Linked DNA regions of Arabidopsis thaliana. The protein of the gene in region 1 interacts with the protein of each later gene in a pairwise test. Each region holds a gene or a part of one and is shown in the gene's direction. Other genes may lie near its edges.

Evidence for each region.
Region 2: the proteins of AT5G23280 (region 1) and AT2G02060 interact in a two-hybrid assay, tested with the Arabidopsis thaliana proteins (one large-scale study listed by BioGRID).
Region 3: the proteins of AT5G23280 (region 1) and FES1 interact in a two-hybrid assay, tested with the Arabidopsis thaliana proteins (one large-scale study listed by BioGRID).
Region 4: the proteins of AT5G23280 (region 1) and bZIP interact in a two-hybrid assay, tested with the Arabidopsis thaliana proteins (one large-scale study listed by BioGRID).

Annotation. Positions count from the first base shown.
Region 1 is NC_003076.8:7,840,821-7,845,235, forward strand, and holds AT5G23280 (TCP family transcription factor), read left to right. Parts: upstream 1-1,786; 5' UTR 1,787-2,196; coding exon 2,197-2,949; 3' UTR 2,950-3,829; downstream 3,830-4,415. Other genes in the region: STP11 (sugar transporter 11), read left to right, coding at 1-54.
Region 2 is NC_003071.7:492,757-498,295, forward strand, and holds AT2G02060 (Homeodomain-like superfamily protein), read left to right. Parts: upstream 1-1,988; 5' UTR 1,989-2,004; intron 2,005-2,624; exon of another isoform or gene 2,625-2,919; 5' UTR 2,920-2,934; coding exon 2,935-3,094; intron 3,095-3,288; exon of another isoform or gene 3,289-3,326; intron 3,327-3,512; coding exon 3,513-3,589; intron 3,590-3,695; coding exon 3,696-3,735; intron 3,736-4,008; coding exon 4,009-4,150; intron 4,151-4,275; coding exon 4,276-4,405; intron 4,406-4,631; coding exon 4,632-4,853; 3' UTR 4,854-5,022; downstream 5,023-5,539. Other genes in the region: AT2G02061 (Nucleotide-diphospho-sugar transferase family protein), read left to right, coding at 5,269-5,539.
Region 3 is NC_003071.7:14,310,984-14,316,315, reverse strand, and holds FES1 (Zinc finger C-x8-C-x5-C-x3-H type family protein), read left to right. Parts: upstream 1-1,601; 5' UTR 1,602-1,749; coding exon 1,750-1,873; intron 1,874-2,213; coding exon 2,214-2,307; intron 2,308-2,391; coding exon 2,392-2,615; intron 2,616-2,753; coding exon 2,754-4,045; intron 4,046-4,141; coding exon 4,142-4,171; 3' UTR 4,172-4,604; downstream 4,605-5,332. Other genes in the region: AT2G33840 (Tyrosyl-tRNA synthetase, class Ib, bacterial/mitochondrial), read right to left, coding at 1-54, 304-400, 493-776, 862-1,015, 1,205-1,305. UniProt on the Arabidopsis thaliana protein: Transcriptional activator involved in the FRIGIDA-mediated vernalization pathway, but not in the autonomous flowering pathway. Acts cooperatively with FRI (FRIGIDA) or FRL1 (FRIGIDA-LIKE 1) to promote FLC (FLOWERING LOCUS C) expression.
Region 4 is NC_003070.9:25,893,243-25,896,637, reverse strand, and holds bZIP (basic leucine-zipper 8), read left to right. Parts: upstream 1-1,581; 5' UTR 1,582-1,722; coding exon 1,723-2,139; 3' UTR 2,140-2,667; downstream 2,668-3,395. Other genes in the region: AT1G68877 (chaperonin 60 subunit beta), read left to right, coding at 3,145-3,333.

The DNA of each region.
Region 1 (4,415 bases):
AAATATAGTAATAATGATGATGGTGATGATGTTGATGATGATGCTTATTTTTAGTTGATGATTATTTGGGATTTAAGGATATGTTAGGATTAAAAACTTATTATTGAGAAAATGCTTATACTGACCAATGTGAGAAAATAAAAATGAGGATATAATAAACAAGTGTACATAATTTGAGGATTTATGACCGTACTTAAAATTACTCGAAACTTCTTGAACTAAAAATAATATAAATTTTTTGTTTAGACTAAAATGATCATTTTTTACGATAAAGATACATGTCGAGTAATTATTAAGAGTATCCAAATTATCCGTTTGAATTGTTAAAATATTTAAAATTATTATAATTTTCCGGCTACTAAAAATTCTCTAACACTTCACAAGATTATTAAAAAAAACTCTCTCTCTCTATTTGTACTTAAAATAACCCAAATTTGACCCATTCTCATTTGGATAGCGATTTTTAAATTATTGAATTTATCTACCATATCATATCTTATCAGTTGTTTCCAAAACTTAGAAGTGAAATTAAATTGGTTATTTATTTTTGTTTGTAACATAACTAAATCAACCATCAAGTCAATCTCGAACAAACAATTGTTATCATCCATTATCCAATATTAATTACTTTTTTGTTTTGTTTTGTTACAAGTGAATACTATTCACATGATTTATAAATTAGTATTATTATTCACTCCACAACATTTTGTATCAGATTAGGTTTCAAGTTTATAGTTACACAAAAAATGGATTCCGAAATCTTTTAGATTAAAAAAAAAAAGGATCAAAAGTTCAAGGTACACAATCTTTTTATAAAACTGCCGACATGATGCCATATCGCTCATGATTGCATTTATTTTTTTGCATTAGCTCACAAGAATGTTAAAAATTAACGATAAGAAAATCCATTTAATTAGGGGGTACGAGTACGAAAATAATTAAAACAAATATTAGCGTTTGGTGGTGCATAACTCAGCATAAGTCATAAAATAAATTGTTGTCACGATATGTGAAGAAAATCTCGTTGCGATGAGACGAACGACATAAAGAAAATCTTGCGTATCTGACAAGTGGACTAATCCACTTATTTTCAATGTCAGTCTCAAAATGGGAGTTATTAAAATTAATGTTCGTTCTTTTTATTTTATACACACATTTATTTTATATATATATTTATATTATATACAGTAAAACCTCTATAAATTAATAACATTAAAACCATAATATTTTTAATTTATAGTACTATTAATTTAAATGTCTTTGGGTATTTTAGTTGGCAAAACTCAACTAATTACAGGTAACTTTCTTTTGTGATGTCGACAAAAGAATTCTGAATAATTTTTAAGGGTTTCGATTTTTGCCATTTCACGTAAAACACGTGATACTGGGCTACTGGCATTTACGGCAGAGTAACTGGTGGCAAATATTATTACCAATATACTATAAACAAATAAATAAAAAGAACAAACACTAGTATTAAATTTTGATTGTTTTATAACTCAATTAAGTTTTGATGTCAAAGTCTACTTACCAATCAATTACCTCACTGATTTGTCTCCTTTTCAATCTTTTCGATTGTTTTATGGAAACAGCTTTCTAAAAAAGATTAATTTTCACGTAATCACAAAACAAATGTTCACATTAGCCCAAATCTAATAACCACATTAGGTTGGTCCCAAAAATTTAAAAACAAAAAAAAACTTTTTTAGACAGAGAGACCAACTTCAATACATTTAGTTTCATGTATTTTAAATAAGATTAGTATCTTCGTGTTAATTTCCAAATTCAAGCTTATAGTAAGTTAGTAATAATGTATATAATGACGTGGCAAAGGATAAATGTCTCTTTAAATGCACGTAGCAGCCGGAGGAGTGACCCACCTACCTAGTGTTAAATTCTCCTGCCGGAGTTTGGTCCCCACGCGACCTTCTTCTTCACCGGAGTAATAACGCGCGTGAGCTCCACCGCGTCGGGACAAAACTAATGTCCTCTCAAAAAAGCAAAAAAAAAAAGAGAAAAAAAACCAGAGATGGTGAGCTGTGTGAAAAGGACCCCACCACACCCATGTGCTTCTCCTTCCTGTCTCCACCAGCTCCCTCCTTCTCAATCATTAGCTTCTTCTCTTCTCTTCTCTCACAGAGAGAGTAATCACAAGCCAAGTGAGAAAAAGAAAACACTAAACCCAGATCGAAAACCATGTCTATTAACAACAACAACAACAACAACAACAATAACAACGATGGTCTTATGATCTCATCAAACGGAGCTTTAATCGAACAACAACCATCAGTCGTTGTGAAGAAACCACCGGCGAAAGATCGACATAGCAAAGTCGATGGAAGAGGGAGAAGAATCCGTATGCCGATTATATGTGCTGCTCGTGTTTTTCAGCTAACGAGAGAGCTTGGTCATAAGTCAGATGGCCAAACAATTGAATGGTTACTTCGTCAAGCAGAGCCTTCTATTATAGCTGCAACAGGAACTGGTACAACTCCAGCGAGTTTCTCAACTGCTTCTGTCTCTATCCGTGGAGCCACCAATTCTACTTCTTTAGATCATAAACCCACTTCTTTACTTGGTGGTACGTCACCGTTTATACTTGGGAAACGTGTTAGAGCTGATGAGGATAGTAATAATAGTCATAATCATAGTTCTGTTGGTAAAGATGAGACCTTTACGACAACACCAGCTGGGTTTTGGGCTGTTCCGGCGAGGCCGGATTTTGGACAAGTTTGGAGTTTTGCTGGAGCTCCACAAGAGATGTTTTTACAACAACAACATCATCATCAGCAACCATTGTTTGTTCATCAGCAACAGCAACAACAAGCTGCAATGGGTGAAGCTTCTGCTGCTAGAGTTGGGAATTATCTTCCGGGTCATCTTAATTTGCTTGCTTCTTTATCCGGTGGATCTCCCGGGTCGGATCGAAGAGAGGAAGATCCACGTTAATGGTTTAAGCCCTTTTAGGTTTGAGGGCAAAATTTGGTATATATATTTATTATCTTCTCTTCTCTATTGTTGTCATTGTTTCTCTATGTGTGTGTTTTAGTGTTGTTAGAGATTGATTTGGTTTCAGAATCTCTGCAAGTGATTTGAGAGTTTTCGTTAGCTTTAAGTAAGTTAAAGACGGTTGTTTTTGATTAGGGTTAAATTAGGGTTTAAGAATCTGTTGTTTTTTTGGAGGGAGATCGATTTCTTATCGGATCCAAGATTACTTTTAGGAAAAAAGGGAAAATTTCAGAAACCACGGTGGTTTCTTTTCCTCTTTTTTTTTTTGTGTCTGTTTTTTTTTTCCGGTGAAACAGAGCCGTCGATTAAAATTTCAGATATATATTTAAATGTTTTAATATGGTTTGTTGTTGTTGTTGCTAATTGTGTAATGTGTTACAACAATTGTGGTGAAGCATTTGCGTAAGCTGTTAACCACGTTTATTTCTAATAAATGTTTCGAATTCATATTGTTCCTTCCTTCTCTGCATTTATTGATACACAAAAAGCTTTATGTGATAGTGATTGTTTCGTTGAAATCGAACCGGATGATGGATTTTTGAACAGAATCATAATAATCTCTTATTTTTTTAGTGGATATATGTATGAATTGTGGATTTTGAGATGCTATTTATTTTTGGCGTTTCGCGTCTTGATTTAATGCAAGAACTGAACAGAGGATTTAGTAAGAAAAAGAGACAAACCAGTTGTGTCTGAATTCTTCAATTTTGTTGCCTTTTTGTTTCATATGAATCTTTGTACTGTGCTTTTGGAAGTTTGGTTTGTCACGTTAGTCAGAGAAATATTAAATTTAAGTACTGTTAAAACTATATGGCGACATGATATCTTTAAATTAATTGTCTATATTTTTGTTCTAGAAACTGTTACAATTTGAAAGATTAAAGGTGTTAGAATTGTCTCTTCTCTTGTTTGAGATTAGCTATCTAAAAAAATGTGGGTGATACACTCGAACATGAGTTCAAATGGTTGTTTTAATTTTGGCAAAAACCATTTTCACTGTTGTAATAATTTGGACTATCAAAAAAGTAAATTTTATTTTAACCCCTGATATAGTATAATTTCTTATGCAAAGTATATTTAAGGTACAAATAGCATAGATTCAATGATTTCGTTTGTGGTTTTCACAGCTATATATCTGCTGAGTAATGTATTTAACCAATAATTTATTTATCACGATAATACCTGATGAATAAATGTCAAAGTGATTAGATAGGCTTCTTTAGACTATTTAGGTCACACTAACCAATCAAAAGAATCAAACAAATTTTCTCATTAAAATAAGAATCCATTAATGGAAAGATCTTAACAAAAAGTTGGTGTTTTTTCTTTCTTAATTAGGTCTTAGTAATTAACACTTAGCTATATAATGTAATGCAAATAATTATAGGTGGGGGATCTTTGTAATC
Region 2 (5,539 bases), on another chromosome or scaffold:
TACTCTAAACCTTTTCACATAACCATGCAATGTCTATATCTATCCATGTGTACATTGTTGTATATTATATTCTCTGTCTTGTAATTTATATATTAGTTGTGTAATTTTTTTGGTGGCCCAACCATTCCCAAATCAAACTTTTAAACAACTCTCTTTCACTTTTGTTTAATGTTATTTTAGGTGTGAAAAGGCTAATTCTTCTCTGTTCTCTCTAGGTGTTTCATGGATTACACCTTTTATATTACTTTAACCATCTTAGAATTTGCCTTGTTCTTGCATGTGCTATGATTGAATTCAATCAATGGGTGATGAGAAAATTGACCCAATAGAATAATAAATTAACATTGATAATCGTCGAATGGTTCGGTGAGATTTGCACATCCAAATTTTCCACACACAAAAAAGAATGTTATGTTTTTTATAGTCCAAAATCCAGTTGGGTTACATTATCTTACATGTATGTACAAAGTTTTATAATATTAATAAAAAAACAAGCAAAGAGAATTATTGAATGTTTTGATTGTGGTAAAAGCCATGAATCATGGACCTCCACAGTCAATTACTCATTCAATTTCTCTTGGAGCTATTTGTCTCTGCCAGACTCATTTAATGTATTATTTTCATTTGCTTCCACTTTCTCTCATACATGTATTAGTACTAACCATTTTGATTTTTGAGACTTGAACTCTCGGTTAGACATTTTATCCATCCATGCAATTGTGTTTATCGATCAATGATCATCAGTAGGATAATAAAAGGCTTTATTAGTGAATATAGTAAAATTGTTTCACTGATAAAACCTTTTGGAATGTGTTTACTTGATTATTTTGATCAATGATCATAACCTAGGTAGCTTTTTGTATTATTCTTCTAGTCAATATATAGGTAATATAAGCAACTCGTGTGTCTTTGACAAGCTGGTGACTGAATATTATATTTTAATTACCGTCTAATCAAACACTAAACCATTTTTAAAATCGTTAAAGCGAATTTTGGCATATATGCAGAGAATTCCACGTTTTTATAATAATTTAGAGAATGTGCATAAATGAGAAGAAAATGCAAAGCACAATAGGCTACATTTTAAAGGTCAATGACCTCACTTTGTGTGTAGATTTTATTATTTGATTGTTTTTTTCGTTGGGTATAGAAATGTCTGATTTATGTGTGGAATAAAGACGACGACTTTGTTAAATTATAAATTATTAAATTTTGTTCTCTTAATTAATACTCAATCGGCTTTTTCTTATTTTTTTATTATTATGGCTGATACCACGTAAACCACGAGTAAGTATGTAGTACAAATCAATTACTTTCTAATACTACATAAAAATTATATACTAGTACTTAATTTCTTACAAGAAATACATACATCATTTAAAAACAGTATTTGATGTTAATATAAGTAGTTAATAGTAGAATAGCTGATAAAATAACGTGATTTATGTCCACAATTCGTTGATTAAAATATTGAATCCATGGTTGGAAAAAACTGGCGAAATCAGTAATTATTGTCGGCTACCATATAGGGACATGATGGTTTTGGTTCGTCTTCCATGTACACCAAATCAGCAATGAGAAAAAGAAAAATGGGGAAAATAAATAATTCTTGTTATAAATATTATCCTAAGATTTATTATCACTTATTATGGGAGTGAAAAAGAAAACAATAAGAAGGAAAATGAATGGGAAATGGGAGAAAATGTAAAGGAATTAGGGGAATGAAGTCAAAACGGTGGTCCAAAAGACATAACGAAGGACCATTGTAAAATTGTGTGATTTATTTGAAATCAGAAAGTTTAACACGAAACCCTAAAAAAACAAAACAAAAAACAAAAATAGGAATAATAATTATGCTATATGGTCAAAGCTAAGCAGTTGGGCTATTTTCATTTAAATTTATTCGTTTTGGTCTAAAACCTATCGTGAAAAAAGTGAGAAAGTAAAGTTTGAGGTACTGTGGAGGAAACTTCTTCATTTGGGTAAATCCCAAATCCCTATAAGGTAAATATTATGTGTTCTTACAAAATTTGGTTTTTCTATGACAAGTATATTCTTTTGACCAGCTAAGCTAACAAATGTATGTTCAATTGGTTATATATCGATCGGGGCAAGGGTAATACTCGAATCTATGTTCTTTTCATGCAAGTTATGTATGTAGCCTTGTGTAGTTCTCTGGTACGTTGATATGCAATGATTCTCTCGAAAACTATTTAAAAAAATTATTTAAGATAATAATGAATGGGGTCACGAGTCAAGACTAATGTAACCAAAGTCAAATGGATTTTCGTATGATTACTACTTTTGTAACCAAAGTCAAATGGATTTTCGTATGATTACTACAAGCTTGTAGGTCAAAAAACACATGTCACCTCTCTGTTTAGTATAATAAACCAATTTTATAACATCATTCTTTTTATTTGCTAGTTTAATCGTCTAAATAAGTGACCCAACCATAAACCATATCAGATTATGAAATTTTGACTTTACGATAGTTTACGTATCCTCAAATTCCTCACGTATATGTCATGAACAATTCTTAAACAACAAAATTATAACTCTCTTTTAATTAATGTAGTTTTTTCGTAAGAACTCAAATTGATATTTAACAAAAAAAATGAATGAAACATTTCTCAAGTTTTAATAATTATTTTTTGGAATTTTGCAAAACATATATAGAGAGATAATAATAAGTATGAATGAATCCAAAAAGAGACAAAAAGAATAGATGGAAAAAGAGACAGTCATCTTTAAGAAAGAAGCCAAAAACAAAAACTTGCTCTTTTAATCCCAACCCACACACCTCTCAAATCCTCCTCTCCTCGTTTCTCTTTCTCTCCTCTTCACAGAACCAAAACATATCAAACCTTTTTTTCTCTTGGGTTTAAGTAAAAATCGAATCTTTGTGTCGGTTTTTAGGGTTCTTGAAACGATATGGGTAAGTCTAGTGGTAGAAATGGTAACGGAAGCTTTAACGGCAATAAATTTCACGGAGTTAGACCTTACGTACGGTCTCCAGTTCCACGGCTTAGATGGACGCCGGATCTTCACCGTTGTTTCGTTCACGCCGTCGAGATTCTCGGTGGTCAACACCGTAAGTTTATTATACTTTTTTTCTCTTCAAATCTTTTGTGAAAAAAACCAAACTTTTGTGTGTTTGTTTGCTTCAAACATCCTAAAGTTACGATATAACTAGAAAAATTGGACTTTTCTCATTCTTTTGTCTCAATCATCGTAAAAAATCAGTTTTTGAATAAAATCTTCACACTTTTGTTACTTTGTTTCATTCTTATCTTCAAAGTTTGGATTTTTATGCTAAAAAAAAGGTTTGAAGTTTCCTTATTGTGTTGTTTATCTTCATCATCGTAATGAATCATCTTTGTCAAGTTACCGAGTCAAAACCTTCACGCTTTTGTTGTTTTGTTTCATTCATAAAGTTTGAGTTTTTGTTTTTTTTCATAAAGAATCATCATAGTCACCTTTTTGATATTTTGTTGGGTTTGATGAAACAGGAGCAACACCAAAACTTGTTCTTAAGATGATGGATGTGAAGGGACTTACCATTTCACATGTCAAAAGCCACCTTCAGGTAAATAGTAATTAATTTTACCAAAAACATCAATTTTGTTTTCTTCTTTATTCATATTTCATTCATAACACCTTGTTTTGATTGTTTTGAACATATATATAAACAGATGTATAGAGGAGGTTCAAAGCTCACTTTGGAGAAACCAGGTATTATTTTTTTCCTTATAATTATGAAATGAATCAATGATGATATTTGGAAAAAGAATGGGACCGTTGATTTTAATTTGAACTGTTAACATCAAACACATAATAATGGATGGAATTTAATTATTTTACTGTATCTGTTTGTAGTATGTACTATTGGTCTAGTGTCATGATTCATAAGACAAATGTCATAAATACATTTATATATTTTTCAAGAGTAATAGAACAGAAAATAAGAGAATATTCATTAACTAGTTTTTATTGTTTCTTACACAGAAGAAAGCTCATCATCTTCAATAAGAAGAAGACAAGACAGTGAAGAAGATTATTATCTTCATGACAACTTGTCTTTACACACAAGGAATGATTGTCTTTTGGGTTTTCACTCTTTTCCTCTTTCTTCACATTCTTCATTTAGGTATTTATTTTTATTTATAATTGTTTTCTGACAAAGTTTTTTAATTTTATTTCAGTAAAAAAAAAAAAAAAGTGTTTTGCTTTTTTGTTTGTCTGTATTTGAATTGTCCTTTTACTTTGGTGCAGAGGAGGAGGAGGAGGAAGAACAAAAGAGCAGCAGACTTCAGAGTCTGGTGGTTATGATGATGATGCTGACTTTCTTCACATCAAGAAGATGAACGATACGACGACGTTTTTGTCACATCATTTCCCCAAGGTATAAATAAATTTCTCTTTTGTCAACCGGTTTGGAAATTTAATGTTGCAAAACAAAATCAAGTCCGGTTATGAGTTCTAACCGGTCTGATTGAGACTGGTCAAATCCAAAGGGATTGAGTCCGGTTTAAGTACTACTTGTCATTGAATCTAATTAGTTTCATATAAATGGCATTTAACCGGTTTTAGTCCGGTTTGGTAACTAATTTTGTCTTTTGGTTCATTAGGGAACAGAGGAGTGGCGGGAACAAGAACACGAAGAAGAAGAAGAAGATTTGTCGTTGTCTCTGTCGTTAAATCATCATCATTGGAGAAGCAATGGATCATCGGTGGTGAGCGAAACGAGTGAAGCAGCAGTCTCGACTTGTTCAGCACCATTCGTATCCAAAGATTGCTTTGGTTCTTCAAAGATTGATCTTAATCTGTCAATTTCTCTCCTCGGTAGCTAAATAAGTTATGCAAGATTTAGGTTCAGAGAAACTATTCGGATGTGTTTTTGAAACTAGGATATTGAATGTTAGTAGAGAAACCTAGAAAATGAAGTTTAGATAAATTATCAACGCAGCGTTTTGATCGCCTTTGAACGGAAAATTAACAAACAGAGCCAAACGCAGTGTTTTGATCTTTGAAGGATAACCCCTAAACGCAGCGTTTCTATATCAAGATCCTACGGTTTAGAATGTTCATTGTTATTTTGGTCGGCAATCCTACGGTAGAAAAAATAATCTCGCAGATAAAACCCATTAAACGCTGCGTTTCATCGTTGGAGGGTAAACTCATTAAACGCCGCGTTTTACATTCAAAAAACTTGAAACTACCTTATAACCGCCCAGACGATGACCAACGTCGTCAACGTCGGCGAAGATGAATCTATCGAACCGTTTTGGCTCCAATTCCAAGACGGCGATACTCAACGATTCTTACTCCGACGAGAATCATTCTTCCTCCGCCGCCGCCGCCGTAACTTCCGTCGTAATCCCACCGTGCTCCGGCAATGTACTCCGAGCCGTTCTCTTGCTCTTCTTCATCTGCTTCTGCTTCTCCCTCTACAGAACTTCTGGTTATCTCCGAATCGTCTCTGACTCTTCCTCCACCCTCTCTCGCATTTTCCCCTCTGTCAACGATTCTTCTTCGT
Region 3 (5,332 bases), on another chromosome or scaffold:
TCTCGCTAGCACATTTACTTTTCTTTGATCCATCCCAAGCTGGCAAATATCAGCCTACATATGTAACGAAAATGGTTTAACAGTAGTCACAGAACTCATCAGCCAGATACACAAAATGTAACATTACATTGATAAAATCTGCAATCATATACAGCTTATTTCTAGCCTGGAGCTTTTATCAGGTGTTTTATCAACAATATAATAGACTTTCTGCTGATGTAACGCTTAAGCTAAATTTTTTATTCCGAGTAACTAGCAGCAGAATCAAAGACAGTTCATAAGCAAGCAAAGGCTTAACAGTACCTCAAGGAAAAAAATATCTGCACATTGCATGCATGGGTAAAGGATCTGGGCAGCACTCAGTTCATCAGTCTCACTACGTCCCATAATCTGCACACACCTTCAAGGACAAGAACCAGAGTCATTCAGGTCCCATCATTTCCCTCACATAATTACAACGTCCCAAGAATGGAGAAGATTTAGAAAAGTAACCTTAAGATTCTAGGGAGCTTGTTTTTGCGAGCAATGTCCATCACAAGAGGCCAATACTTATCTGCCTTAGAATTAATTTCTTCGGACGACCACAAAAACTCTACTTTGTCATTATCCATCCCAGCAGCCTTCCATATCTCTTGAAAGTATTCTCCAACCACTCTGATTTTCTTCAAGTCACCACCCATTTTGTTGTTCAACTGAGCAAACCAATCAGCAATCCAAATCTTCACTCTGCAACCAGCTGAAGTCATTTTGTTCACATTGATGACTTTCATCACTCCCTATTAAGAAAACAACAGAACCAAAATAGATTAGCCAACGCTTCCTTCCCACATATGGTAATGGAACAAAGGAAAACTAACAGACCTGAGCAATGTGCATTCTTCCTGATGGTTCAAAGCCGTCGTAGCAAATCGGAGCAGCCTTCTTAGCAAGAAGATTCTTTAGCTCTTCCTCTTGTATACATTCCTCACCGATACTCCTAACAATTTTGTATCTCTTCTCAACTTCTTCACTCATCCTGAAGAATTAGTAAAATTTCAATATCTACCAGACCAATAAGCAGATAACAAGATCTTTTCAATTTTAAATTCCATACTTCTAAATTGCTATAGCTTTTTCATCTCTTCCACTCTAATCAAATAATATAATCCAAATCAAAATTGAAGCGCGAAAATGAAAAAAATTGATGATTGGTAAGAAAACTCACTGGAATCCATCGGACGAAGAAGATGCCTGAGTTGATGAAACGGAAACAGCTTCCATCTCCGACGACAGAGCATTGACGATCTCCGAACTTTGGTCTGCCATCAAATTTAGCCGGCGGCTCCTTCACAAAATTGCGAAATTGCGGAGGATTCTTAGGGTTTACCAGTGGCAGTGATGGAGACAGTTAACGTGCAATATAGCACCACTACGCTTCACGATTTTCACGGTTTGATTCGATTCTCTTTAATTTTGTTTTGGTTTAATCCGGTTACTATAAAAAGGCAACGATGTGTTAATTTAGGAAATAGTTGGTAAAATTTGGAATTTAGTATGGGCCTTAATACTAAAGCTTTAATTATTTAGGAAAGGCCCATTAGATATAAAATAGTTCGGTGGTCTTTGTAACAATGGTGGTTTCGATATACCAAACGTATTCTCGGAGATCATCAGGACTCAACAGCGAGCTTCGGACCCCGATCACGCCGCAGTATTTTTTTTTATCAATTTACCACTCTCTGCGTTGGTTACCTCGCCGAAGACTTCAAGATGTCTGATTCCGACATGGACATTGATGATGATGAGGTCGAACAAAAGGTGCAAGTACATACAATTGTAAGAGAATCTGAATTGTTTGATAAACCACCAATTCAAGCTTCCAATTCCCACAACGGTTAGTATTTGAAATTCGTGATTGGTTACATGGTATTGTTGATTAATTCTGTCAAGTTCGTGTTTTTATTGATGGAAACACCTTTTCCAATTTGGAATTGATGAATTTTGTTCTAGAAGAAAGAGAGAATTGTTAAATTGACTAGATTTAGCTCTGATTAGAGGTTCAAAGACTTGGCAATTAGATTTTCACTGAAGCTCTTTTGTAAAAATTGTGGCTTTAATACCAAGTAAGCAAATTCAATTCTCAGAGTTTTGTGCTTGTTTCTGTAAGGAATCTCTTTTGTTTATTCAAAACAGCAGTTTTGCTAATATGTACTGATTAAACTTGTCTCATGTAGATGTGAAGAGGCATTCTGTAACAACACCTTTAGATGAGCAATCAAAAATCATAAAGGAGCAAGCTTTTGCTCAAGATAATGGTACTTTACCAAGGTATGGCAAAAAAGTTTCTGCTTAAGTTTTGCTGAAACTAAGTTAAGAGGTTGAAGCTTTTATACTGACAAATTCGGTTATCAGATTTCCTGCTCCGGGTATACCGCCAAGAAGCTTTTTCACTGGCGGTGGTGGGAATGAACCAGAACAAAAACGTGCAGCTCTTCCCTGCAAATTTTTTGCTAAAGGGTGGTGTTTCAATGGGGTGTCCTGCAAGTTTCTACATGTGAAAGAGAATTCAAATTGCACTAGTCAACAACTGGCGGAAAATAGTATGGCTGGAAACGGTGGTATCCGGTCTGATCTAGGTACGTTGTACCATGAATACTTATTCTTGTGATTCTATGTGGAGGTAGTTCCAACAATATAGAGGCCGGTGAATATCTATGGGGTTTAATTACTCTTTCTGAATCAACCAATAATTTATTTTGCTTATGTCTATTCAGAAAGAAGAATTTTGGACAGCAGAGAAGGTGTAAGAGTTTCCCAGTTAAGCGAAAACGGTGTGACATCGTTGCCTACCAGAGAGGATATATCTTTCATGAATCCTCAGAGAGTTTTCTCCTCCATGTCTTTTGTGAATCCCCCAGGTTCTCAGAGAGTTTTCCCGTTCAATAACGAGATGCGCTTTATGCCTTCATTTGAAAACATTAGAAGAGAGAGTTTGAAGCAAACGTATGGTGCTGATTTCACTGACAACAGGTCTCTAGTTATTAATAACGCCAATTCCTTCGCATTGAGAAGCAGCTTTGTTCATGAGCATAGACCTTCTATCAGTTCCTATTTAAAAACAGACATGGGATCTGCTGGACCAGCCTGGACAGGATCATTATCCAGTTCTGTTCCTATGAATGATCGTGCTTCTACGGTGGGGGATTTTGAAAATGGGAATAGTTTATCTGGATCCGGATCACTTCCAACGCTGCAAGGGGTAGCTGTTTCTTCTGATAAAGGCGCAGAAGCCAACACTACTAGCACTAAAAAGAAAGTTTCTTCAGATGACTGGGAACCTTCTGAACCTTTTAAAGCATCTTTTACAATTCCACCTTATATTCTTCCCTCGTCTGATGCCCTCTACGATCCTTTCACGGATATAGAGAATCTAGGAGACAGACCTCTTAATGATTCATTGTCAAGTAAAGGAGAACATGCACGGAAAAGTTCCTGCCAGCAGAAAGATGGTGATTCTGCTAGTGGTCCCCAAGCACGGGATTGCAAGAATGATGATAAAAGCAGTTCATGCAGTCAAAATCAACACCAAGAAACCGTGGCAAGGAGTTTGGAAGCACATGGAGTAGTGGAAGGGGTGGCTACGTCAGTGGTTGATCAAAATGATACAGCAACGCCTAGCAAAGAGATTTCTTCGGCTACGGCTGCAGAGAATAGAGTTGTTTTGAAAAGAATCAAACCTGCAGGGCATGATTCTTGGCATAGAAGTGATGGGTCTTCATATAAAAAGACAAAGAAATCAGATGAGATAGATGGTGAAGTGAGGTCAGATGCAGGAATGAAAGTAATGAGACTATTCCGGACTGCAGTTGTGGAAACCATTAAAGAAATGTTGAAACCGTTGTGGCGTGAGGGTCGTCTAACTAAAGACGTGCATAACATGATAGTTAAAAAAGCTGCAGAAAAGGTAGTCGGCGCCGCTGTCCAGTTTCATCAGGTGCCAACTGACACAGAATCAGTTGATCAATATCTTGGTTTGTCTGGAACCAGAATTGTGAAACTTGTCGAGGTGAGTTTCTTAGCTGGAAATAAAAGACACTTAAAGCAGGTAAAAACCTAAGTAGTAAGTATTGCATAAGCTAACAATTCTTATGTTCATTTGCAGGGGTATGTCGAAAAGTATGGTAAACCCTGAGTTATCAAACCAAATGTCACTTGGTGTGGCATGAGCTCAAACTGATGAGATTCCTGTACATTATGTCATCCTTCTTTTACTCAGTTATAGATTTAGTACGTAGCACCTAAATTCTTTGGAACTCCATTCCTATCCTTTACCGATAATGGAATAAGGTTGGAATGGGAGCTTGGTGGAGGAAATGTGTACACATTGTAAAACTCTTCAAAGCTTAATTTATGCTTAAAACAGTTTTCTTTTACCTTTGGGAATATGATTTAGAATGTGATCTTTAGAAGTAATGTGATAAAGAATGGTTGCCTTGGAAGCAGAGGAAAAGAGAAAGAAATGGAATAATGTTGAGGTACGTTTCCTAACTATTTGATAAGTAATTTAGCTTTGTGAAACCAAGATTTTTCAAATTAGAAGTTAGTTTTAGTTTTGTATTTCTCCATCAATATAAGTAAAACCTCTGTAAATTAATACTCGGTAAATTAATAACCTCTATAAATTAATAATTTCTTCCAATCCCGAGGTGAGACTAATGGAAAAAATGACATAAATCGATAAATTAATAAGATAATAATTTTTTTGAAAATCCTATGTAAATATATGGTCTCATTAATATCACAAATTAATAATTGCAGAAATGTATCAACTATATATACATTATATGTAAGAAATTTCTTTAAAATATATTTCTAATATTTTTTTTTGCTTAAATTTGTATTTATTCTTATTTGATATTGAGTTCTAATATTTTATTGTATCAAAAAATTTTGGTGTTGTTTTCTAAATATGATATTACTTTTTACTTGTAATTGATTCTTAAAAAATATTTTCTATAATGAAAAAATCTTAAATTTTTTTTAAAAGTTAATAAATTAGAAAAATATCTCTATAAATTAATTAATTAATCGATAAATTAAAACCTCTATAAATTAATATAATTTTTCGGTCCTAACATTATTAATTTATAGAAGTTTTACTGTAAGTAGAAAGTGGTTTTTGGTTTAGGATAAAGTGCATACGTTTTGTGTACAGTTTTGGAATTAGTTTTATCTTTTTCAAACATTTTAGTGAATCATTTGGACTATGATCATTAGGACATCATGAACTTATTATCTATGGTGGGTTTGTGGAAAACTATTTGATTAGAGTTACTGTTGCTTAATAATATTA
Region 4 (3,395 bases), on another chromosome or scaffold:
TTATATAAACTAATTTTTAAAATAAATTGTCATGCGGTGTACCGCGGATTAAAATCTAGTTGGTTGTTTATCACAACAAGTTGTTGTATGACAAAGCTTCAAAATATAAATTCTCATAAAACTACTTGGGTTTTATTTTGAAGAATCATAGATAATACTTTTCTATGAGTTTGTGCCAAAAAAAAGTAATGTCTTCATTACTTTATGCTTGGTAAGTTAAACCAATGCTTTTAAAACTGATATATTTTTGGCACTAGACGATTTCACATCATAGGAGGAATTGCTAGTAATATCCTCTTGGACATTGATATGAACCCGAAAGTTGTAGATCGTGGAATAGCCAAAACGGACAAAACAAGAGTAGCTGGAAACTAGTAAAAGACAAGCAAGAAATCTCTACCACTAGAGTTTCACATTATAATATTTGCTTTCTAATCAATAAAACCATAATGGTCCATAACATCAGCAAAATAAGTGTTTCATTGTGAGTATGTGATACGTCACTTGAAGCTTTAATTGACTTTCATTAGTTACCCCTTGGAGCAGCTAATGGATTAATTCGCTTAATTGTCATAGAAAAGTATTTTCTCTTCTTACATAAATTATGAATAACAGGGCTATATTTTGATGTTATTGGATGAATCCTTATTCTATAGCAAAATAGTTAGCCGATTAACATCTAGATGGCTAAAATTGTCTTATTAAGATAATTCAACATGTCATTATAATATGAACAGACTCGTTTGCAATTTGATGCGTCTCGCACTCTCGAGTTTTTCAAACATTCATCTATATATGTTTGATACCATCACGCCACTAAGATGATTGGCTTTAAGTGGATCTAGGAAACTTCTTTACTAGCAGAAAACATCAATATTCTAATCCTTACTTTAGATAAAATATTATTTATAACTGCTACTAAAAATTACCGCCTAATAAAGCAAATTTAACCAATCTGATACCCCAACCCCAAGTGACATTCACTCTAAATGGTGAAGGTAAATACCAATATATTTAGAGTATTTATCCAAAAAAAAAATTGCCAATATATTTCATCCCAGCTATAAGATATTATTTTCATTCACTAGACTTTATTTGACTTGGTAAAAACATGTTACCTAATGCAAAATTTCTAAAAGCACATTTTAGCTATCCGACCACAACTCTCGCAATTAGGCTTCAGGAACTATAGTAGTTTTTGGTAAAATTTCTTCATTGTCAACTCTTTAACACTATAAATTATGTACAAGGACTAAAGTCACTTTATGCTACATCATTACCCACAAATTTCATAAACCATTGGATTATCGAATAATTACGTATATAAAAAAAATAAAGTACGCTCTTAAAAAAATTAGATATGGTTGCTCGAAAAGAAACATGGTGCGTCGACGAGTCGCTACCTCTCACGCTTTCTTTGAATAATTTATAATATAGTCTTTGATTTTCTCCGCAATGGTCCCCTTCATGCCATCTACTTACTTTCACCTTTCAAGTGCTTCATGACTCATCAATCTCACGATTAGAACTTCTCTTTTTCTTCTCCTTCTATTTTATTAAAATTTACGTATGCTTCAGCCACTTGGATTAGTTATTAGTGTAAGGTAACACTACTTTCGATTTATTCATCTATAAAAACCAAAATTAGAGTGCATTTCATTGATCTATACCATCATACTTGTCAACAAAAATTTTCTTAAAGAACGCATAACTGTTTTTTTCATGGCTGGTTCTGTCTATAACCTTCCAAGTCAAAACCCTAATCCACAGTCTTTATTCCAAATCTTTGTTGATCGAGTACCACTTTCAAACTTGCCTGCCACGTCAGACGACTCTAGCCGGACTGCAGAAGATAATGAGAGGAAGCGGAGAAGGAAGGTATCGAACCGCGAGTCAGCTCGGAGATCGCGTATGCGGAAACAGCGTCACATGGAAGAACTGTGGTCCATGCTTGTTCAACTCATCAATAAGAACAAATCTCTAGTCGATGAGCTAAGCCAAGCCAGGGAATGTTACGAGAAGGTTATAGAAGAGAACATGAAACTTCGAGAGGAAAACTCCAAGTCGAGGAAGATGATTGGTGAGATCGGGCTTAATAGGTTTCTTAGCGTAGAGGCCGATCAGATCTGGACCTTCTAATCGTCTCGTAAGCTTGTTGGTTTTTTGTTGTTTATTTAAAGAAGAGGACCAAGGTATACAAACATCTCAAATGAATCTATAACAATATAATCAAATATATTTTACCAAAAATATAACCTAAAGAGAGTGTTCTTTAGATCTCAGGTTCGAATTTTGTCATTGGGGGTGTTCAGGGGACTTTGCTCTGTTTTGAATTTCGGACCTATGGTCCAAAACTTTTTGGTTACAAAAAAATAAAAACTATATATTTTCATGTTCTAATAAATAAACAGGTCCATATCGATGTATGCATCATCTTTGTCTCTTTCGAAATGTTCTTGATCCCTGTCTGAACTTGTTACGGGTCTATAAACCAAATATTTCCAAAAGAAAGTGTTCATATATAATCTGACAAGTCTTTATCTACTAACGATATTTAGATTCGGCTCAATCAACGACTATTGTAAAATTTCTAAAACAATAGTCAAATCATTTATCACATTCCCATAAACTGACTCAATTTTATCCAAAGCCAAAACATTAATTATATCCTTATCACTATAGTTTTAAAAACCGTCGTCAAATAATTTATCATACTCCCATAAATTGATTTAGTTTTATTCAAAGCTTGACAAACTATATCCTTATTATTATGATATTACCATAAAATAATTTGACCATAATAATTTGGCATGGACATTCAGTTTTTCTGTTTAGTTTGGTTTAGGCTTTTTGGTTTAGTACAATGAATTTTGAAAATAAGTATCAAATAAAAGCAAATTTTAATTCGGTTTAGTCCAAGTTTAGGTTCAGTTCGAATTTGGATAAAAAAAGTTTCGGTTTTGTTTTGTATTTCTGTATTTTAAAAGAATTAGTTCAAGGTGTCGTAAATTTGAGTTTATCACGTAACGTGGTGGCAATGCATTCTGTTTCACCATTTCCAAAGGCAATTGCTATGCCATTCTGTTTCACCCTCTTATAATAGTTCCATTATCCAAACCATTTCTAAAACTAAAGAATCTGAAGATGATGGGCATAATGAGCATTCAAACGGCGATGGATCTTATCGTCGCCGGTGTCTCTCTAATGATCGGATTTGGATTCTTTGCTCTCATTGCCTCTGTCCTCTGCTCCGTCGCTTTCTTCCACCACGTCAAAGCCGCAACTCCCATCTCCACCGCTTTAACTTCTCACCGGAGATATATAGATTCGTAAGAGACGTTCGCTTTATGTATAAGTTATAAGTATAACCCCTTTTTACATGGATCCAGTCACGT